Yarrowia lipolytica: one gene and its partners. The main gene of each other region encodes a partner of the protein of the gene in region 4 in a complex. Links are inferred from orthologs where the notes say so. Each region holds a gene or a part of one and is shown on either strand. Other genes may lie near its edges.

The links.
Region 1: YALI1_E29617g (region 4) and YALI1_F12422g share a complex: the UniProt entries of both Saccharomyces cerevisiae proteins name them as parts of the mitochondrial large ribosomal subunit. The link is inferred for Yarrowia lipolytica from reciprocal best matches to the Saccharomyces cerevisiae genes MRPL17 and MRPL49.
Region 2: YALI1_E29617g (region 4) and YALI1_F39183g share a complex: the UniProt entries of both Saccharomyces cerevisiae proteins name them as parts of the mitochondrial large ribosomal subunit. The link is inferred for Yarrowia lipolytica from reciprocal best matches to the Saccharomyces cerevisiae genes MRPL17 and MRP35.
Region 3: YALI1_E29617g (region 4) and YALI1_C21634g share a complex: the UniProt entries of both Saccharomyces cerevisiae proteins name them as parts of the mitochondrial large ribosomal subunit. The link is inferred for Yarrowia lipolytica from reciprocal best matches to the Saccharomyces cerevisiae genes MRPL17 and MRPL39.

Annotation. Positions count from the first base shown.
Region 1 is NC_090775.1:1,240,174-1,245,526, reverse strand, and holds YALI1_F12422g (mitochondrial 54S ribosomal protein bL21m), read left to right. Parts: upstream 1-3,321; coding exon 3,322-3,765; downstream 3,766-5,353. Other genes in the region: YALI1_F12434g (uncharacterized protein), read right to left, coding at 1-2,113; YALI1_F12430g (uncharacterized protein), read left to right, coding at 2,333-2,415, 2,463-2,736; YALI1_F12365g (uncharacterized protein), read left to right, coding at 4,576-5,353. UniProt on the Saccharomyces cerevisiae protein: Component of the mitochondrial ribosome (mitoribosome), a dedicated translation machinery responsible for the synthesis of mitochondrial genome-encoded proteins, including at least some of the essential transmembrane subunits of the mitochondrial respiratory chain.
Region 2 is NC_090775.1:3,915,626-3,921,288, reverse strand, and holds YALI1_F39183g (uncharacterized protein), read right to left. Parts: upstream 2,939-5,663; coding exon 2,786-2,938; intron 2,433-2,785; coding exon 2,298-2,432; downstream 1-2,297. Other genes in the region: YALI1_F39236g (uncharacterized protein), read left to right, coding at 1-794; YALI1_F39199g (uncharacterized protein), read left to right, coding at 1,307-1,990; YALI1_F39176g (uncharacterized protein), read right to left, coding at 3,305-3,412, 3,509-3,655; YALI1_F39164g (uncharacterized protein), read right to left, coding at 4,007-4,840; YALI1_F39159g (uncharacterized protein), read left to right, coding at 5,378-5,663. UniProt on the Saccharomyces cerevisiae protein: Component of the mitochondrial ribosome (mitoribosome), a dedicated translation machinery responsible for the synthesis of mitochondrial genome-encoded proteins, including at least some of the essential transmembrane subunits of the mitochondrial respiratory chain.
Region 3 is NC_090772.1:2,161,535-2,166,950, forward strand, and holds YALI1_C21634g (mitochondrial 54S ribosomal protein bL33m), read right to left. Parts: upstream 2,284-5,416; coding exon 2,277-2,283; intron 2,227-2,276; coding exon 2,110-2,226; intron 1,929-2,109; coding exon 1,840-1,928; downstream 1-1,839. Other genes in the region: YALI1_C21626g (uncharacterized protein), read left to right, coding at 1,076-1,153, 1,198-1,261, 1,347-1,687; YALI1_C21639g (uncharacterized protein), read left to right, coding at 2,423-4,552; YALI1_C21664g (uncharacterized protein), read right to left, coding at 4,677-4,928, 4,979-5,416. UniProt on the Saccharomyces cerevisiae protein: Component of the mitochondrial ribosome (mitoribosome), a dedicated translation machinery responsible for the synthesis of mitochondrial genome-encoded proteins, including at least some of the essential transmembrane subunits of the mitochondrial respiratory chain.
Region 4 is NC_090774.1:2,958,849-2,964,879, forward strand, and holds YALI1_E29617g (mitochondrial 54S ribosomal protein mL46), read left to right. Parts: upstream 1-2,832; coding exon 2,833-3,690; downstream 3,691-6,031. Other genes in the region: YALI1_E29586g (uncharacterized protein), read right to left, coding at 276-461; YALI1_E29611g (uncharacterized protein), read right to left, coding at 1,844-2,308; YALI1_E29642g (uncharacterized protein), read right to left, coding at 4,111-5,331; YALI1_E29665g (uncharacterized protein), read right to left, coding at 5,926-6,031. UniProt on the Saccharomyces cerevisiae protein: Component of the mitochondrial ribosome (mitoribosome), a dedicated translation machinery responsible for the synthesis of mitochondrial genome-encoded proteins, including at least some of the essential transmembrane subunits of the mitochondrial respiratory chain.

The DNA of each region.
Region 1 (5,353 bases), on a different chromosome or scaffold from region 4:
GAATGTCGATAAAGTCGGACGGGTAAATGTCCGTCTTGATGGCCCGACTGAGTGTATCCTTTCTTCGAGTGAACATGAGATCGTGTCGGAACACCTTGTTAGCCATGAACTCGGAGCCAATCTTCTCTGCTCCAACGGTGTTAATCACATCCACAGCCGAAATCACATGTGCCTTGGCCTTGTCCTCGCACTCAATCACCGCAGATTGAAGCTGGGCGACAATCTTGTCCATGGTGGCCTCTGCGTAAGCGTACAGGTCAAAGTAGGATGAAAAGGCGGGCGACACAGTGGCGAGCTGCTCAAACTTGGCTGAAAGACCCTCCCGAGTCTCGTAGTAGGCCTGCTTGCAGCAGTCCTCGAGAGTCTGGTCCACCTGGGTCGAAGCAGAAGTTGAGTCACTGATAGACCGATCGTACTGAGGAGTGATCTGTTTCAGTTGAGACAACAAAATATCCTTTTGTTGCTGGGAAACAGCCTTGTTGGCGTGAACGAGTTTCTCAAGATCGTCAAGAATGTGCGTGAGATAGGTCTTTGCGGGTGAGAGTTTCGAAACAGACCGCTTTTCAAGTACAAAGTTTCGCAGAGACTCTTCCAGGGCGTCGAAATCGGCGTCGGACATGTCGGGATTGTTGTTATCGGGGTCGTCGTCGTCACCAGGGCCATCATCGGGGCCAGCAGGGCTCTTCTCCAGCTGTCTGGAGGAGGAAACGAAATGCACAAACTCCGAGGCGTCCTTGTGAGTAGCAGGAGACAGTTCCTTGACCTGGTCAAGAATGCGCTGCTTACATCGCTGCTTGTTTTTAATAGTGTCGAATCGGTTCACGACAATGAAAACATACGACTTTTCTCGAGCAGCAGCAGTGATAAACTCCTTGGCAGAAAGGGTAAAGTGGTTTTCGGCAGAAACGACGAAAATCACAAGATCAATCTCCTCCTGACGAGAAAACACTTGGGTGGTCTGGTACGAGTCCTTGTTGAGTCCCGGAGCGTCAATCAGCGAAATATCAATCACTCCGTTGTGCAACAGCGACTGGGTGATGGGTCTGTTATCTACGGTGTAGATTTTCAGAATGTGGTATCGGTCCACCTCATAGACCAGATCCTCGAGGTCGCCAAGCTTGTGCACCTCGTAGGAGGCCTCCGAGTTGCGGTTGTACTCCATTCCTAGTGGCACCGCATGAACTTCCTCCACATTGTCGTTTTCCCGCGCGTCAATCACCTCACAGAAGACGTTAGTACAGGGCTGCTGGTCTTCGGGCAGCAGATATCTTCTGAGAAGCGCGTTGCAGAAGGTCGACTTACCCGAGTTGACATCTCCGGTAATGAGCACCTTTGAGGCGGTATCGTCAATACGAACTCTCAAGTTGGACAAGTGCTTCATGCACTTTGTGATTCGTGTGTCGATGAGCACGCCTAGGGCTTCCTTGTCAAACTCGTGCACGTCCTTGGACGCTTTGGAGTCATCCACAATGGCGAGCTTGAAGATGTTGAACTCCGAGTCCACGGTGGGCAGTTCGTCGAACCCCTCAATGTAGCTTTGGCGTCTGTTCTGGGGAGCAGGAGTGATGTCTCGGGGGGCCTCGCCGAATATACTAACGTTCCGTAGTAGCTCGTTTCGGGGGTCTTGGATCGCCTGTAGGTCTGGAACCGGTGAGCTGTGTCTGGAAGAGGTGGCTGTGGGGGGCTGAGGGTTTGCCACTGGGGGGTAGTAGACCGGTCGGTCTCTGTTAACGTCCTGGAGCTCCCGTAGGATGCCCATCACGGCCGAGATACTTCGACCTAACGATATCCGGTTCTCATTGTACCGAAGCTGGCTCAGTTGGGCTTGTTGCATCTGGCGAGTCTCGCCACTGAGCCGTCGGTGCGAGCTGTCTGCGGCCTCCAGGGTCGAGCCATCAAACACAATGAGCTTCGACTTGTCGACCAGCTCGTCGGTGATGATGCTGCCGGACACAGAAGGCGCGTATCCCGAGTCATGGTCATTGGACCCTCTTCGGTGGTAGTTGTCGCTGTTGGCGTTGGAGTTGGCGTTGGCGTTGGACTCTCTGTTTCCGTCTTTACTGCTGCTGGGCTCTTGGCCCGGCGGGTAGTCGTACGGGTCTCTGTCGGACATGGCACACACGTTTCGAGGATATCCGTCTGATTTCAAAAGATTTGAGATGGTGAGTTAGCAAGTTACCCGGGAGAGATATTGGGACTGTTTAAGTTAGTTGCATAACTACAGTAAGTTGAAAGTCAACTGAAGAACCACTATAGCAGTGATGGGCAACTGGAAAAGGTGGCAAACAGAGACCGGGAGATCACGTGGGGGGCGGGCGGTCACGTGACCGGAATGGACGTTTCACAGCGCGCCCCTCTCCTTCCGTCCACATTCAGCTTTCTGTACTCTCTTTCTCATGCTGACGCTTGCAGTTGGTATCCACGTAATCAGCGGCTGAGATCAGGTCATTCGAAACAGCAAGGTTTCAGGAACCATCAAAACATGTGACCATACGAGGAGGTTGTTCTGGGGGCGTTTTGAGTCATGTGAGAGAATCAAAATGGCATTATTTGTTGCTAATTGAGTGGATATGGCACTATTTTCGTCTTGGGTTCTTTTTTCCCCCAAAAAAACGCACAATTTATCTCCGTCGGGGCTCTGATCTCGGGCGCATCGGATTTAGCAATGGCCTGTTTGGGCCTAATTTCGAGTTGAGTCGTAATCCCGCAGTGATGGTATTTTTTTTCTCGCAGTGATGTATTTTTTTCTTTTTTCCCCTCTTTTTTTGAAATAAACAATTTAATTGATAATTGCACTTGGGGTAAAGCAGATGTTAGAGGAGATTCGGGTTTTTATTGGTGGCTCTCACAAAAAAAAAATTCTTTTGAATTTTCGTACCTCCGTCTCCAATTAAATTGACCAATTTGCTGTTGATATCGGCTTAGTAATGTATGTCTTAGTTGGAATATTTAGTTGAATGATTAGTTTACTGAATGCATCATATTTTATGTATTGTGTATAAAAATATATATAATATGTTACAGTATATACAGTATATGTTATAAAAAAATACCCTAAGAAAAGTGAGAAAAAAAAAAGAAGAAAAAAAACATTACATTAACCGTGATTGCGGGTTCGATCCTCGAGCGCTAGATTATATCACATGCTCCGATTCTAATAAAACAAGACAATTCCGCCCCAAATATACGCCGTACATACTCGGTGGTATTTTCGTCTCTTGAATCCCCCCATTCACCGCCCCGCTTACATCATGTACCAATCTTCCAACTGAAACTTTTTCATACATACATCACCACTTCACACAACACCACACAAACACAATGATGTCGCTATTGAGACAGGTGCGGCACATGTCGACCGCCGCCAGCGCGCCCAGCGGGTTCCTCAAGGTGTCTGCCGAGCAGATCAAGCCCCTGCTGCTCGCCAACCAGCACATTTTCGCCAAGGTGCACATGCACAACAACGCCTACCTGGTGACCAAGGGCGACCAGATGCGACTGCCTTACCGGTTCAAGGGCCTCAAGGTGGGCGACGTGATCAACTTTGAGCACGTGAGCCAGATCGGCTCTCGGGATCACGTGTTCCAGGGTGACAAGTACATTTCCCAGGACCACTTCAACATCAAGGGCGTTGTGACTGCTCTCACTGCTGAGCCCATGACCACCCATGTTCACCATCGAATCAAGGACAAGGGTTACACTCGGACCCAGCGAAAGGTGCCCCAGACCATCATTCGAATTAGCGAGCTGGAACTCAAGGCTTAGAAGAGGAAGTTGAAATTACGAGTGGAGCGAGTAATTTGGTTCTTCTGCGTTATGTATATAGGAATGCATTTATTGCGTAAAGGAACGACACCGGGCGACACAGGTGCTACTGTCCAACGAGCACTGGCTATCATGTGCAGTTGTGGGTCGTGATCTACAACTGAGATCAGTATGTGAATGGAAGGCAACAATTGAGGTTGTAGTGAGGTCATTATATAGTGGGGGTATCGATAAAGTGTCTGGAGTTGAAAAGTTGCAGACGAATATCTCCATTTGGTATTTTGCTTGGTACGGTGAATTGATGATTGTAGCCATACTAGGTACCAGTGTGACTATGGAGGATGGGGGATCTAAGAGGGTCTAAGATCTAAGGTCTAGATCTAAGAAGGTCTAAACATGTTAATAGAGGTCTCTACAGATGCTGAGATACACGTGTCTAGTCACCATCTTCAATTACCGGTCAAATACTCCCCAATATCTCTCCCTCACTTCGTCACCAAATCTAAACAAAACAGTTGAGGATTTATTTGACTCGGTTGTCCCAGTTGGGTGCGGCTTTAACGAAGAGAGGACGGATTAATGTGGCTGAACTTGCTCCAAAAGTGACCTTTTTGGAACGGGGAAAAACGGAATTAACTCATAACCAGATTTATGACGCTTTGCACTCTTCACTTTCCCCCATAATCTCCTTCAACCCCCTCAACCTCTCTCGTTCTGACCCCGATAAACTTAAACTCCCTGCAAACACGAGACCACGCACTCCAGCATCTCACCACTACTTGTACAGTACAAGCACCCGTACACGGAACCATGGGCGAGTTCCATATCAACCTGATTCCGACGTACGACGACGCTCATAATCTCACGGACGATCTGCAGTCCGTGTCGTCGTCGCCGTACTCGGTGACCGTGCCCAAAAACCGACTTCGTTCGCGCAGCGACTTGTCTGAGGTCGCAGACCGATCTGTGTCCACTGGAGCTCTGGAGCGACTGGTTCCGAACCCAAACAAGATCCGCGTCGACCGACGTGTCGTGAGTGATACCAATGGTGACTCGAATGCCAACTCGGGTCCCAGTCTCACGCACCATCTTTCCCATGCCAATCTTAACACTTACAACAACAACAGCAGTACCAACAACTTGCAGACTCCGCAGAAGCTCAAGTCGTCTGTTTCCTACTCTTCGCTACATCGCACACCCAACAACAACAACTTTGACACCTCGTTCCAGTCTCTGCAGTCCGAACAGTCGTTCCATACCGCGCCGTCTCCAGACGGAGTGCTGTCGTCAAGTCCTAACGAGACCAGACTCAAATTCCAGAAAAGCAGAGACATTTTACGCCAGGGAGCCCCGTCTCCCCTCAATCTCACGCCGGGGAATAGATCTGTGAACGCCACGTCGCCTCATCCTCCGACACCTTCGGCATACTTGTTTGAAAACGACTCCAGCCATAAGAACCAGGAACAGCCGAGTAAACAGAGCCCGATCCAGTACTCGTCGCCGCATCCCATTGGAAACGCCATCTCTTGGAAGGCAGACGAGCCCAATAATTGGACGCTGGACCGTGTGCTCATGTTTCTGGACTTGT
Region 2 (5,663 bases), on a different chromosome or scaffold from region 4:
AGACCGTGCAGCGAATCCGAGCCGGAAAGCCTCCCCAGGAGCGGTTCCTGGACGTTGAGATCGCCTCTGTGTCCATGATCCAGGCTCGAATCCGAGGCGTGTCTCCCGAGTGGATTGCTGCCGTTGAGCAGGACAACTCGCAGCGACACCAGCTGTTTGAGGTCATTCGAACCGCTACACCCATCAATGGCAACTCCCAGGCGCTCAAAGAGGGAGACATTCTGCTGTCCATCAACGGCAAGCTGCTGACGACCCTGACAACGCTCAGCGAGGCCGGCGACAAGGAGCAGGTGACCATCAAGCTGGTGCGAAACAAAAAGGAGGAGGAGATCCAGGCTCCCACCACGGATTCGGCTTTCGAGACCTCTCAGGCCGTCTTCTGGTGCGGAGCTGTTCTGCAGACCCCCCACCATGCTGTTCGTCAGCAAATCAAAAAGATCCACTCGGGCGTCTACGTGTCCAGTCGAGCCCAGGGATCTCCCGCTTACCAGTACTTGATTGCGCCCACCAACTTCATCACTCACGTGAACGGCACCGCCACTCCTGATCTGGAGACGTTCCTGTCTGTGGTGACCAAGATCCCTGACAATACCTACGTCAAGTTGCGTATTGTCACGTTTGACAACGTGGCGTTTGCGTGTTCCATGAAGATGAACTACCACTACTTCCCCACGGCGGAGATCAAAAAGGAGGGCAATGAGTGGGTTGGATACAGTTATAAGGACGGTAAGCGAGTCAAGGAGAGCGATGAAAATGTCGAGGAGCAGGTGAACGAGGCTGAAAAGCAAGAGTAAATAGAGACCCAAAAATGTATAGATTGCATGTTTAGTTACAGAGGTGTTATTGTTTGTAGTCTATGGCACGGGTACAAGTACAGTACTGTACGTTATGTAGTGTGGAGTGAGGCTGTAGTAATCGTAGTATGACATGTTGTGCTACTTGTAGAACAATACACTACCGCGCAATTAAGTGCTCGGACTCATCACCGATCTTATCATCTTGCCAACGACAACTGGTCACACGACTTTTCACTCCATGTATTCAGGCACCCCACATTCTCCACCTTGAGGATTACCCCAATATATTTATTATATGGAGAGCTAAAAGTACACAAGACATGACCCAACAAGACCTGGTGGCAAAAGCCATAATCAAGTGGAACATAGATTAACAGTGATGCTTGTCATGTGGAGACGCAGACGTGAGTGTGTGTGTCACCTACAGTAGATTTGTTGAGAAATATCCACTGTTATTGCAGTATCGCGCCTGGTACGAGTACTTGTTGAAGCTATCTGTAAGACCCTACATGGACCCTACATACCCTATCGTATCGTACATTTCCATATCAGCGCTTACAGTTACCCCAGAATGTTTATTACACGCTACTGGTCGCCACAAAGAGCAAATGTGGAAGAATAACACGCCAGAGGTTGCACTGGCACGTAGCAAGCAGGAGGGGAACTCGCAAGCTGCATCTACCCCTTATAATTATGTTGCAATAGTCTTGTTTTGCCCCATGACGTTCGTGGACCCGAGGTCACGTGCACTCAACAACCTTACTGGTCCTGTCTTTGTTGCATGGCGACGAAAGTCTCTGAAAGGCTGTAAGGCTATATATAATCAAAAAAGCGCCCCTGGGTCCGCTGTAATCAGAAAACACTCTCAAGAAACACAAATGCTCGATATCTGTGACGCCGACAAACAACAATTAGTGACAAGCGTGATTGAACAGTGCAACCGCGAGTCCAACGCCTCAGCATTTGGAGATCGACTCCATTATTGGTTGACTGGCGAGGAGCTCAAGCCTTTTGTGCCTGAAAAAAATGTCGGTCTTTTGGCCAACGAGCCCTCTTCAGATCGACAAGAGTATGCTCCTCGTGAGTCTGCCATTGAGTGGGACTCTGGTCTGTCCAGCCTTAACCCTGTGGATGCTGTTGAAATGATGGGTTATGGTGTCTATTTTATTGGTTGGTTGTTGCTTGGCCAGTAACCCCCCTCTGCTACAATTGTAGTATGATACTTACGACATTCATATCGCTGGTACTTTCGCAGTACCGCGTCTCCACCACGGCCTGAGTACAAGTGCTGTACCTACCCACGGCCTAGCTGTCCCATCAAAACCGTGATCTAAACCCCGCGCGCCCTATTTATTATTTGCAGAGTATGCAATGATTACATCTTATACAGAAAAATACATCAATTAATTTAAACAGCTCGGTACGTGCACTACGAACTTGTATCCGTCTGTACTGTACAGACTTCTCGTGCATCCAAGAGGGTTCTAATTGCTATATACATTAAGGGGATTGTTTGAAAGGCACGTACTTCTTGACATGCTTCTTCTGGAAACCGGTGAGCTCGGTCATACCGGTCTTCTTTCGCAGCAGAGCAGCGGACCATCCAGTGTTTCCGTGCTTTCGTCCGGTTTTTCCCTGAGTTAGTGGCGATCTGGAAGTTGTCATTGTTGATGTGTTCAGCTACAAGAGGTTATGAGTGTCTTGCTTGATCTGAGTGCCTGGTAAGCAACAAAAAAAACAAAAAAAACGCAGTGTGCGTAATCAGCCTGGTTGTGACAGGTAGTTCCGTGTCTGGTATCTCTTCTAGCTGCTGAAACAGTTAATCATCTCAGCTTGAAAGCTGTGTAACATAAGGCCATGATCAGATCAGAGGCAAAACTTTTCCGGCACTGAAATATCAGCTATCCACTCTATCATGGCTTGATCGGAGTCGCTCCCAGCATTCCTTTTTCCTTATTTCCCCTCCTCTCCATCCTTGTGGCACTCACTCTGGTGATCTTTCCACTACCACAGATCTTGATTCGGTTGGCAACGGCCTTTTTGGTCTTGACATGGGCGGACTTGCAAGTGTTTCGCACAAACATCTGCGCCACGTTGTTCATGGCCACAGTCGGCCGTAGCGACTGAATCAGAGACAGCATTTTTGTATGGTCGTGTATGTGTGGTGATAGAGTCTGATATTCCAACCGACGATTTTGCAAAACCTTGTTTGTCACGTGGCGAGGTTTTCTTGCAGTGACTTACACAGGTGTGTTTGGGGTACTGGAAGGTGGCCGATGACTTCTTGCGGCGAGAGGACTTTTTATAAATCGTTAGAAAGTGTTTAGATTTCCCTATAAAATCTGTCGAACTTCATCCTTTTACTAGATTTTAAAAAAATTCACCCGTAACTCACAGACACCCTTGCACACTTACAGAGAAAAGCCTGACTAACACAGACTTGATACAAGTGAGAAACTCGTTTTTTCACATCTTGGCCAGCAGAATCGTTCAATTAATATATACATTTACTTCTTCTTTTCATCCTCCTCCACGAGCTTGCCGCCGTTCTCAAACGGAGCCTGCTTTCGAGCCTCGTCAATCATCTTTCCAACACCCTTCTTGGCAAGAGCGGCCTGGGTTAGTAAATACTGTGAGTGGTACGCCGGGTACCGATCTCCTGAATCGATCCTAATTCATCTCCAGGCTGCCCTCTCCCTCTCCCTACTCACCTTGACGCAATCCTCGTACTCGTGCCACAGATCGGCACACTCGTTCTCCATGGACTCTCCCTTGAGGAACTTCTCCGAGTACCAGTTGTTGAAGCAGTTGTCGTACTCCTTCTTGGCTTTAGTGCATTCCGGGGCAAAGGAGTTCATTGTGACGGTCGAGTGTAAAGTCGAAAATCATGCTTCACCGAGATGCCTGTATGCAACCCAAAATGATTATGTAAGCGAGTATACCTGATTCGGCCATGAGCTGAACGGGAACGACCATCCACACAACCCTAGGCAACCAACCATAGTATTCAGATATATTAGTCTGTCTGTCTTACTCATTAATAATAAAAATTCGTTTCACATTATCGGCGGAAGGCACTCAAAGCCACCACAATCCACATTCTTCTTCTTTTTCCCGCCCAAGCTGCTATCCTGGTTGTCGCAAGAGACGGAGCTCATCACGGTAGCTACCAAACTATTGTTTCAACCATGCCGTTTTCATCACTCAGTTTACAAAAACACCTTGCTGGTGACAGCATTGGCAGCTCGTGTACTTTCCGTTATCTTTCGCATCTCTCCCTCTCGCAGAACCAGTCCCATGAGTAGGATGACCTCGGAAAGATGAGTGCCACCATTGAAAATGCTAAACTCGCCAACCCGGCGCTGCTTCTTCAGTCTGCCCTCAGTCAGATAACTGTAGGCTCCTATGCAAGGACCACAGAGGGTGTCTGAGTCTGGCAGCACATTACCCTGTCTCTCAGTATGTTCGGTGTCAACAAGCCGCAGATGAAAGAATCCAGAGCCATAAGTGTTGGCAATGCCCGTCGTTCCGTACCATTGCAACTGCACGCCTTCGTAAGAAGCTGTAGTCACCCGCCTGGTTCCATGGGTAACCATGGTGATGTTGTCCCGCTCGCTGTCCACAAAGGTGAGAATGTACTCGATACGGTCGTTGTCAAGTACCTTTTGTGTCACACTGCACAGAAGCGACTTGTAGCACTCGGTTCCAGACATTGACACAGCCTCGCTACCTGGGCTCTGCTTATCGTCCAGCCGGTAAATCTCCATGTAGGTCTTGCCGAAGAAATGCGTGGACACAGACAGAATGGGTTTTTTGAGGCCATCGTCAAAAACGGTCACTCCATGTCGAAACATGGCCGAGTATATGCTGTAGACATCCCGTTCTCGCGGGTCGCCTTCAGGGGTTTCAAACAGCGTGGAGACCGCGGACTTGTTGTCGTCAAAGAGCGTTTCGTGCGAGGAGCGGGTGTCGGTGCGCTCCAGTGGTGCTCCAGCCTCGCCCGCTGCGCTGTTTTTCAGTGCCTTTTTCAATAGTCGCTGCATTATAGAGCTTGGTCAGTTTATTTTTTGCGCCTGAAAAACGCACTTGAAATTTTAGGAACTAAACGTTAGTGCATGACTGCTGCACTTGGCGCGTGACCCAAATGGCTATTCAGGTTCTGGGCAAGTTCTGGGCTACCCCAACCCCGACTTCTCAAAAGGGTATGACAGAAGTCTCAGAATAACATTTCAAAATACAACCACAACATTGCATGGGAAGGAGAATAATAATCTAAGACCCAGGTGATGGATTCCTGCAGGATGCGATGCTGCAGGTCAAGTGCCAGACCTGCTATATGATATAATGCCTCTTGAGCTCTCTCTCCCATACTACATACGAGTCTCACCTATTCTTCTCTCAACACCTGCCAGGGTGGTTTATACGACTTGGTTTTAACACCCAGCGATTCAAGGTAGGGGAACCAACTCTGTTCATCGCATTTGAAACCTAAAGGCGCGTTTCGCGCTCTGAATCCAAAACAGTGAGAGTGTCAATCATCACAAGCAGATTGAAGAGACGAGACGTAAACCCCAACCAAGATGCCATCACGACCAATGGCCCAAACCGTGGGAGCCGCCCTCGTTATTGGCGCCGACGACACGTCGCACTACGAAATGACCCGTGATGAGTCCTTTGTCATGTCGGAACAGCGCCGAAGAGCTTTCATGAGAGCGGTGCCAAACTACTCGTCCTCCACGCTCAACACCGTCGCCAGCGAGAGCTATTGCATCCCCGAAGACGTTTTGCATGCCGCCGGGGGCACGTCGACTCCAGAGAAGAAGCTGAACCAGCCCAGACAGCCTTCTGGAAGCCCTGTCCCTTTCA
Region 3 (5,416 bases), on a different chromosome or scaffold from region 4:
GTAGAATAAATGTTATAAATGCGTATGGGAAATCTTAAATATGGATAGCATAAATGATATCTGCATTGCCTAATTCGAAATCAACAGCAACGAAAAAAATCCCTTGTACAACATAAATAGTCATCGAGAAATATCAACTATCAAAGAACAGCTATTCACACGTTACTATTGAGATTATTATTGGACGAGAATCACACACTCAACTGTCTTTCTCTCTTCTAGAAATACAGGTACAAGTATGTACTATTCTCATTGTTCATACTTCTAGTCATTTCATCCCACATATTCCTTGGATTTCTCTCCAATGAATGGCACATTCTATCTTGCAAATTCAACAATTATAATAAGAATATACCAAAGTAGCGGTATAGTGGCAATCAAAAAGCTTCTCTGGTGTGCTTCTCGTATTTATTATTTTTATTCTAATGATCCATTAAAGGTATATATTTATTTCTTGTTATATAATCCTTTTGTTTATTACATGGGCTGGATACATAAAGGTATTTTGATTTAATTTTTTGCTTAAATTCAATCCCCCCTCGTTCAGTGTCAACTGTAATGGTAGGAAATTACCATACTTTTGAAGAAGCAAAAAAAATGAAAGAAAAAAAAAATCGTATTTCCAGGTTAGACGTTCCGCAGAATCCAGAATGCGGTACGCGGTACATTGTTCTTCGAACGTAAAAGTTGCGCTCCCTGAGATATTGTACATTTTTGCTTTTACAAGTACAAGTACATCGTACAACTATGTACTACTGTTGATGCATCCACAACAGTTTGTTTTGTTTTTTTTTGTTTTTTTTTTTTCTAATGATTCATTACCGCTATGTATACCTACTTGTACTTGTAGTAAGCCGGGTTATTGGCGTTCAATTAATCATAGACTTATGAATCTGCACGGTGTGCGCTGCGAGTTACTTTTAGCTTATGCATGCTACTTGGGTGTAATATTGGGATCCAGCATGAAGCTATAGGGTTCATTTACTGTAGTGTATATTACAATGTACTTGTACTTGTACTCGTACCAATAACCTTACAAATACGAGAACCGGCACCAGTACGAAACTCATCAGACATGTCCGTAACTCTTCATACGGATGCCGGTGATATCAAGGTCGAAGTATTTTGCGAGGCTGTACCGAAGGCTGCAAAAGTGAGTGGCACTGTGACAGTGTGGTCGTGCAATTATTAACACAGAATTTCCTGGCCCTGTGCGCGTCGGGCACATATGATGAAACAAAGATACACAGGAACATCAAGAGTGAGTAAAACCACACCATACAGCCTGAAGCGACGTTCTATTATGTTAGGTGCCATTAAACCTCTGAGAGAGTGACTAACGCAAGCATTCATGGTACAGATGGGTGATCCCACAGGTACAGGCAAAGGCGGGGAGTCGATTTGGGGCGGCAAATTTGAAGACGAAATCAAGCCGACGCTGCGACACAACTCCAGAGGCATACTCTCCATGGTCAACTCCGGCCCCAACACAAATGGAAGCCAGTTCTTTATAACTTACGACAAGCACTTGAGTCTGGATGGCAATTACACTGTGTTTGGGAAAATGATCGATGGTGAGGACGCTCTAGTGAAACTCGAAGGAGTTGAGGTAGACAAAAAGAATCGACCAGTCGCCCCTGTATTCATCAGGAGTGTGAGCATTCACGCGAACCCATTTGCACAATAGCACATGGAATGGAGAGCAAACACCGTACAGCCACACATCCCTAACCTATCACGCAGAGGGCATGGTCACCAAACTACGACCCAGTCACAGTACAACGAAATACAAGCATCCTACCTCTTCACATCTATAATTAACTATGTACAAATCATGGCTTAGTCATCGGACTTCTTAGGCTCCTTGCCTCGAGGCTCAACGGCTCCTCGTCGGGTCTTCGTCTCCTCGAAAAGAACCATTCGTTTAACTGAGTTAGTAAACTGGCGTGGTCAGCTCTCTGGGACCACGATCTCATGGAGACGATCACGAGAAATCGAGCGTCCAGTGCCACACCCACTAGCCGATGCTGCATCGCGACACCACTGCGATCACCTCATCCACTGCAACGGGTCTCAGCCCTCGACAGCCTCATCTTTCCAGTAACTCACCTATAGGGTCATACTTCACTTGAGTGATGGGACGAGCCACACGAGGTCGGAAAACGGTTCGCATGACACCGGTTTTCGCCGAAGAAAAGAGTTTGATGACAGTGTTCTTGCTTCGTACTGTGTTAGTAAAGCAGGGGGAGGTTTCTGTGGGCGCCAACAATACCTACCAGCCATGTTGTGTTCTCTTCTGATCTGATGTCAAATTCAAGTGGTGGTTCAAGATGCGTGTGATAATTTTAAGCGGGATTAAGGTTACATACCAGATTGGCCTGTTTGTCATCACGGACACAACTCAAAACCACCAACACAGAACATGAGCGGTCATATTGGGAAGATATCTGGGAAGTTGTTTCTTGATGGGCAATTTGCTACGTTGGCCGATCTAGAGTCTTTGGACCAGCTTGAATCCGAGCTTCTGGAGAAGGAGGAGCGGTTGAACATTGACATCACTGAAGCACACAATGAAGCCTCCAGTTTGCTTGTACAACATGCACAGGCAGTCCACGACTCGGTTGAAGAGGGTGACAAGAAATCAATCATTGCGGCACTGGAAGACCTCAGCAAGCATGAGCTGGTCGACACCAACAAGGATGTACAGACTGCAATCAAGAAAGCCGAGAACCTGGCATCCTCTGAACACCACATCGGCAACCTCCTGTCTTTGCAACAAAACTACAACACTTCAACGGAAACCGATTCAAGTGCCAGGATCAAAAGCGCAATTCAAGAATATCTGGAATTGAACCGCAGAGATGTTCCTACTGCGGTGGAAGCTTTACATAAGCAATGGAGGAAAAAGCTTCAGAGGTCCGCGCACACTGAGCTTCAAAGACTTTCGCAGGAGGCAGAAGAGGAGCTGGTGAACTGCCAGTACCCTTCAAAGGAGTTTCAGCCATCAGAACGGCTGCTATCGACTCTAGAAGAAATGATATTCCTTGACAGCTCTCTTAGAACCCAGTCGACAGCTGACCCCCAAGGGGTGCCGCTGCAGGCTTTCTTGGTTTTGACTGCGCCTTATGATATCAGATTACGGTTCCATTTCGAAGGAAACAAAGATACGAACCAACCTGACAAGCCTGAATGGTTTTATTCTTACTTTCTAGACATTGTTGAGGAGCAGGAAAACTTCTTGCAGGAACACATGCAACCTCTGTTGGGTGACAGCGACAAAGTAGCTCTCAATGAGTTCATCTGTGCATTGATTCCATCGGCAATCCGCAAAGCCTCGGTGTTGTTCGATGCTCTCCGTGATACATCTACAGAGCTATCCCATCTCCTCTACGAAACAGTAGTGTTTGAGACCGCTCTTAAAGAGCGTTATTTCTACAGCCCCAACAGAGGAAACTGGGTGGGAATTTCAGGGTCTATTCTCACGCCTTCGAGGTTTGATATTTGGCTCAATGTTGAACGAAATTTTGCGGTTTCGCGGTTTCACGCTATTATTCAGCTTCCCGACGCTTGGGAAATTGACTTTGATGGCGTGGAAAGAGGTGCGACCAAACCAACGAAGAGTGCGCTAATGGTCAAAGATCTGCTGGAGGGTGTCACTGACCACTACAGAAGTCTGGCTAGTGTCACATACAGACTCAAGTTCTTGATAGGTATTCAGACGACAATTTTGGATCTTTATCACGAGCAACTGCATGAACAAAATCTGCTTCTGGAATCGAACATATCTCTATTGTCGAGGGCTCTTGTGGGAGCCGCTGATAAACAGAAAACGGGGGGATCAGAGGGTATCTGGAGGGTGTGCAGAATTTTTGGAAGTGCGAAGTTCATGATAGAGACCCTCCAAGTTTGGGGTGAGGACGTCTTTTTTCTGGAACTTTGGCGCGATATAACCTCTCTCAACAACTCCTCGCGAAAAGAAGGTGGTATCGACAATGATGCCATGCAGACCTCCGCTACGCTACCCACGGATGAAAGCGACGAGGGAACCCTGTTCGATGACACCATCAAAGGATATACGTCTTTACAGGACCGTGTGTACCAGACTGCAAAGGCATTTTTGGAGAAGCGAATGCAGGATGGAATGAAGGAATACTTCAAGCTGAACGACTGGTCCAAGAACGTTGATTATCCTGACCCCGAAAATGTGCCGCCCAGCTCCCAGCTGTCTCTTCCTATTCAGACGATGGACAAATATCTTGGAATTATGAGGAAGTGTCTATCTGCAGAAGACATGTATCAGATCCTCAAGGACTTCTCAAAGGTTTTGTCTGAGTATTTCTCTCGACAAGTTATCATGGTGAATACATTTTCTGCAGCTGGTGGCCAACAACTCATAAGTGATGTCCGAGAAATGTGGACTCGCCTGGGGTTGCCGCAAGACCAGGAGTATCATAGAATCTATGAGAGTGCTGGACTGCTTTCTAGTAGGGATTTCAAGCCATCACACCTTGATGGTGCCACAGTGAAATCAGTCGTCAGGCGAAGGGCATGACAACATAGCTTAATATACACGAACACCATTTACACCACGCAAGTTCAACTTGAGAAGCGCATTGTCTTTCTAATCTATGGAGGTACCTACTCCACCTTTGGTAGCTAAGTTAGTTTCCCCCGATTCAGGCCAGCATCAGTCGGCTGGGCTCTTCTTCGCTGTCTTCGCTCACAGAACCGTAGCCCAATCTCTGCGAGGATGGGCGGTGGTGATTGCTGTGCTCGCGATGATGATGATGATGATGATGATGACGATGATGCTGATTGTGGTAGTGGTGGTTTTGGCTTTCTATGCCTCCTGGACTTACTTGGAAATTACTGTCGTTGTACCAGACGTAATGCTGTAGCATGAACATGATGTCGAAAATTAACGTGATCTGTGTTAGTTGAGAGAGCTCTGCAGGTCTCGGTAGAAATCAATACTTACCAATGATAATAGAAGCTTTGGCACATTCTTGAAGATACCCTCATAATCGTGATTGATATAACCATCCAAGATTAGCTGTGCCAACGATAAAATGCCTCCTCCGAAATCACACAAAATGGAAACAATTGACCATCCCTTCGTGGACTTACGTCGGAAGTTCCATAGAAGTTGCGGGAAGTATTTACTGGTGCTCATGAGAACCTTGACGGATCCTGTGACATATGTAACATCCAACCATTGTAGTCCAATGCTGGGGTCCGAATTGCCGAACAGATACACAAGAAGCGCCGTTCCGAGTGATATTCCGATACCGAAGATTAGCAATGATAGGCCCCATTTGGACAACCGCTGTAGTGGTGATCGACTAAAGCCCCAAAAGTACACTTGACTGAGTGTCAGGAGGGTGAGGAAGCAACCGTGAATGCCAAACCACACGTC
Region 4 (6,031 bases):
TCAGAGCTGTCTGTCGTAGTCCATCCGTTGGCTGTGCGGCTGCCTTTGAGACTGCTTTCGACCATCTTGGACGTCTAGACTCCACTGACGGTTCAGAAACAGCCCGTATACATTATGGAAAGTGTCGAATCCGCCCGTCGACAACAGCACTCTCAAAGCGTCTGTTAGTTGCACAGGATCAGTCACACGCTCTCCTTGATACACCTTCATGTTCTCAAAGCTCTGTCACCGTTCCTATACTCATAATTCCGCCTCATTCCACCTCTTATACTCACATCGTTTGCGACCTTGACAAGAGCAGCCCAATCTATTCTCTCAAGCATGCTGACGAGAAATTCGGGATCGAACTCAGCCTCCTGCTGGACCATCTCCAGAGCAGAGAAGGTCAGAGGAAAGGCGTTTCCGGAAGAAACACATTGCTTGGAAGCACACTGGACGAAATTGCTGGTGAGGAACTTCATGTTGACGAGATGTTTGTGTCAGTTTTCGAGCTGAAGGTATCGCCAATATCGCTATCTCCTGGTATGTATATTTTTGAAAAACATCCAAAATAATTTCTGCCCTAACCCTATTTTGGGAGGTTTGTTATTAAGCGATTTGGGGATGAGGCAGAAAAGAATGTTGTAGTAGCAGAATAAAAGCTCTTAATATAGTGAAATTTGGTCTAATTTTGAAGAGCTGGAGTTCCTCTTTCTAATGGTATAGGTTATAATAACAACTGGTTTATAACTACCTGCGTACTAGCCACAACAACTATAGGTGATTCCAATGAGCCAAGATGTCTATGGTGAGATGTTTATATACTTCATAATTGTCCCCCCTCTTTAATTCATACATCCATTGCCTTTAACAACTCTCTAGAGATCTCGCTCCGACTCGATAGTAGTTTGCACTGTAGCACATCTGTGAAACTCTAAGTTGGCAACCCTAACTACTAAATTACCCGGTAGAAGGTACATAAAAATCTGTGCTGTCTTGATCTGACTTTCTTCACTCCACACTTTTTGGAGCGGAAAACGACGGAATCTCCGAGTAATAAAGTGACACGGAGGTTAGCTGGCGCTACCTGAAGTGTCATCTCGTTAATCGGTCTTTTTGTCGGTTTCCAAGGTGTCTTTCTCTTCGACTGAAAGACACCACCCTTTCTCAAATGGTACGTTTTTGATGATGTTGGAGGCCACGAACGCGTTCGGAAGATGATGCAAAGTAGGGTGAGAAGGCATTTCCCTTCCCTGATTAATCCCAATCCTCTAAGAAGCACTGACGTTTGCTTTGTTTGTGGCATCTTTTACATGTCTCGACTTCTCTTACTAACTTCAGGTATGTTCCACTGTGTTTGCAACACCTTTAAGGATGAAAAACTTCTGTCAATCCCCTGAACTGGATTCCGCAATCAAGAAAATAGGTTTCCAGGATATGACGATTCGTGTCGCCTGATTTTAAACATGGCATCTCTTGTCTTTGTTGTTCCCTACTAACCTTAGCTATAGTAATCTATCCCTTAACTACTTTCTGTGAATGTGTGTGTCTTAAAGCTATTGCTGTCTTATGAGTGTAAGCAGTTGTATCGTATGAACCAGTATCCAGTACAAGTATCGTCTCTGGCGTGTATGATTTTATTACAGGTCCAATACATACATCTTCCCATAGATCGAGAGCTCCAAAGGTAGATTCCATCGACACCTTGGAGGTTGCATTCTACTTGTAGTACGTATATATCAGCTACCCTTTTTCGTTTGCAAGTACAGTTTTTAAGTCTCTACACAACCAAACATCATCTACTCTACAGCCAGCGTCCAAACACCATCTATCAATCTATACCTCGCGTTCTACCCTGTCATAACTACACCCGCTTGATATCCCACTTAACATCAGTGACGGACACCTCCTCACTGTTCTTCTCGTCGTAGTCAAACCACTCGCCCTCGGATAGATCCATCTCCTTGAAAGGTGTGCCAGACTCGCCCTTGCACTGGAAGTCACCGTCGGCTCGGAACTCCTTGAGCTCGAGACCTCGACAGTCGATCTGCAGAATCTCGGCGGGCTTCTTATCGTCGGCGTTGAGAGTTTTGCCTGTCTCGGTGAGGGTGGCAGACGACTCTCGCTTGCAGAAGCGGCACTTGAAGACGAAGTTGGCGTCTCCTCGACTGCCGCTGATGTCGCTCTTGTCCTGGGCGTTCATGGTGACCCAGTTTTCGTGGACCTCATGGCACGAATTGCACTCAATTTTGAAGGAGAACTCGTAGGGTAGCGTGGGTCCCAACTCTGTGACTCCCTGGAGCTCTGCGGAAAGAAATAGACCGAACATCGTGTCCTTCTAGTTGGTGTTGATGATCTAGATGTCGAAAGCGCACCCAAAAGTTTATACGCGGAGGTGTGATGTGATTGAGTGTAAATAAGTGTATGACATACTGGCAGTAATGGAGGTGTCAGATTGGAAGAAACAGTAATGAAATGTTGTATCCAATCTGAGTCTCTATGTTAAAATCTCTTTCAGATCCACTTATTACCTATACAAATATCGTGTGTTGTTGCATGGCTCACTTAGTGCTCAGCTGACTATACAACGCTGACGAGGTACGATCGTTGTACTCGTTACATAATCATAAGACCACTGGACCGCTGTTATTCTCAATACACTATTTCTAAAAAACGGAATATTCTACACTATGTGTGATATGCCCAATACCACATCACACTCACATTTTCCCTCCTTCATTTTATACCACATTGTCGCATCGTTCTCCTCCTACCCTAACCTTGTGAAATTTCAACCGCCAAAAGTTTGCACTGCATACGCTGTCACGATATATCTCACCCGCCATACTCAAGATGATTCGGGCTTTTTCGACAAAAAGCACGGCGTGGAACGCCGCCAAGGAGGCTGTTGCAGAGACCTCCGGCAAGAAGGCCGGACGTCTGACTGCCGAGACCCGGGCCAACATTTCCGGAGGCATGATTCTGTCTCGAATCCCCATCGTCACCTCCGAGCCCACTCCCTTTGCCAAGCAGTACTACGAGTACATGGATGGTCTCAAGCGCCGAATGATGTGGACCTTCCCCTCGTTTCTTTACTTCAAGCGAGGTACTCTTGCTGAGCGAAAGTACAGAGAGCTGAACAAGATCCCCACCCAGGCCCGAGACGGAGTAGTGTACCCCGAGGGTATTCCCGATGTGGTGAATCACCGAGAGCGAACAATGCCCCAGAAGATCGCCGTGCCCACCAAGGACAATGAGGGCTCTCGAGGCGCCAAGAAGGGCACCGAGGAGGGCGAGGAGGATGTGATCAAGCCCAACTCCCGAATCACTGAGGCCGACAAGCAGAACGACGTCAAGTCACTGGAGCGAAAGCTGGACCGAACCCTGTACCTACTGGCCCAGACCAAGAACGGCTGGCGATTCCCCTCGGTCGTTATCAACGAGAAGGAGACCATCGATGAGGCCGCCAAGCGAGGCATCCACGAGCTCGGAGGCCCCGACATGAACATCTGGAACGTGTCGCACACCCCCGCGGGCTTCTTCAAGAACGGCGACAAGCGAGAGTTCTACGTCAAGTCACACATTGTCCAGGGCGAGTTCAAGCCCAGCCGGGACGTGCAGGACTTTGCGTGGCTCACCAAGGAGGAGATCCAGGCTAAGGTCGACGACCAGTACTACCAGCAGCTGCATCCTCTTCTCAACTCGGTTTAAACTGCATCTGTCGACCGACCAACTGAGACCGCACACGAGGAAAAGACTAATGTATATATGTGTATATAGGGGGATGATGATTGAGTGATTGAATGAGTGTACGAGTACTTGTAGTGTATGTTGGTACATTATGACTGTAACATATACCGTAGCTAGCTGTGGTGTTTTAGTGAATGCAATCCGGTTCTAATATTATACTACATACACTTGTACTTGTACCTATACTTGTACTTGTACTGGTTTTATATTCTGTGCTGCAGACGAGGGTGTGGGAAATCCAGTGACTGTCGCACGCTCCGATAGCTAATCAGTATCTGTCAGTATGAGGGCTCGCTGGTTGCTCCGGTGTCATCCTCTCTTTCAAATCTGGCTTTAATGACTAGAGGATTCTTGTCGCACATGCCAGCCCGATTTCGGCATCTAGTAACCACTCGGCCTATTACCTCCTACAGTAATCACATTCAGACCCGCAACGTCCCCAGAAAATGCCAGGTTGTACTTCACCGGGCTCCATGCCACCACTGGGAGCCCTGTCCATCTCGGACGAGAAACAGCATGCACAAATTTTCCAGTGTCCACATGTACAATGTCCACAGGGATATCGTTGTTGTCATACCCGACGGCAATGTAGTCTCCATCATGCGAAAAATCGAGAGAAACGACCGGTTGGTCGTGCTTGGACAGTGTCTTGACACATACCAACTCTTTGGTATCCCACAACGAAACAATGCCTTCATTGCCACCCACAGCAATATAACGGCCTTGAGGATCAGGTTTGACACAGTTCGCGGCTGTTGTGTGTCCTAGAAGCTCAAACAGAGTGGTCACATTAGACGTGCTTAATGATTGGGAAGAAGTAACCACCTTTTCGACCTCTTCAGAAGTAGCAGCAGTCTGGAGATTCAGCTTGAGCAGCTTCACCACACCAATTCCCATTGTAATGGCCATGACAGCAGTTGTGTTTGTCCAAGTTGCCGCGAAAATTTCGTAGGGAGATTCCTTGTATGCAGCAATGGGGTTTCCAAACGCTTCCATTGCACCAATGGCGATCTTGGGTGCCCCTCGCGATCTTTGCGAGTCCTTTCCTCCATTCTGACGTCCTCCGATGTTTGTGCTGGGTGCTGGTTCAGCCACTTCTCCGTTGAAAGAAGGCGCGTACCACAGGATCGCATTGTCTCGTCTTAACACCGATATGTACCGACCACAGGGAGACCACAAGCAGGCTAGATTGTCGGCTCCGGTGTTCACGGATGCAAGCAGCGTTTTTGTTCTTGTGTCCCACACCTTGAGAGTTCCGTCGAGACTGCAAGTAGCGAGCTGATCGGGACTGATGGGAGACCATGCCAGGCCCACTACAGCCTTTTGAGACTTGCTTGAGGAGTATGGGATTTCTGTCGACGTGTTGACCTCGGTATTTCCGGCAATCCATACCCGGATTCGCGCATCGCTGTATGCCACGGCAATTCGAGTACCTGTACTGTTCCAGGCAATGTTTTTGATCGATGACTGTGAAGATGAGGATGCAGAGGAGCCGCCCTGCTTTGAATCTTTTTCTTGGTAAGCAACAACACTCTGGTTCTTGAAGTAGGTCTGCGCAGATCCCACTGGCAGCGATTGCTGAGTGTTGATTGGTTTGCTCATGTTGTCGAGGTACGAATTTTGGAGATGTTACTGCACAGTCAGATATTGGACGTGAACTCTAATGAGGAGCCGAGATTTATATATAGTATGTATTATGTACACGTTGATGGAAATTTTGAGGGGTTGCTTAGTATTATATCAGTTCATTTTCGTTGTAGAATTAGCCTGTTGTCAGTAAAATACTTGGTGAAATCTCTTATCCTGAGAGCCACGTTCTCAGAGCGCCCAGATTATACCTGTAAGGTAATGTACGTAGGACTGCTGGAGCCGACAAGAGACCCTCTCAAAAAGAAGCGCAATTCTAACAGAATTACAACGATGACTTCAAATCGAGGTTTAAATTAGTCATCTAAGTGGTTGTTTTTTTTTTTATGTTTTTTTTTTATTTTTTCATCCTTTTTCTTTTCATTCGTTCAGGACATCTACATCTTGACTGGTGTATAGGCATGGGAAGATTATCGTGACTTCAAACCACGTAACGGGACAACTACAACAAGCCTGTATAAGTGCTGTACATCCCACATACAACTCAAAACCTTTAAATATCATAATCATTAATCTATCTATACATTTTTTCCTCTCTTAGTAAGCTATCTACTGCTGAGGAGGAAAGCCACCCATGGAAGGGATACCGTTGGGGAAGAGAGCTGCCAGAGCCGCGTTGGCGTCCATCTGGGCAGCGTTGACTTGTGGTGGAGGA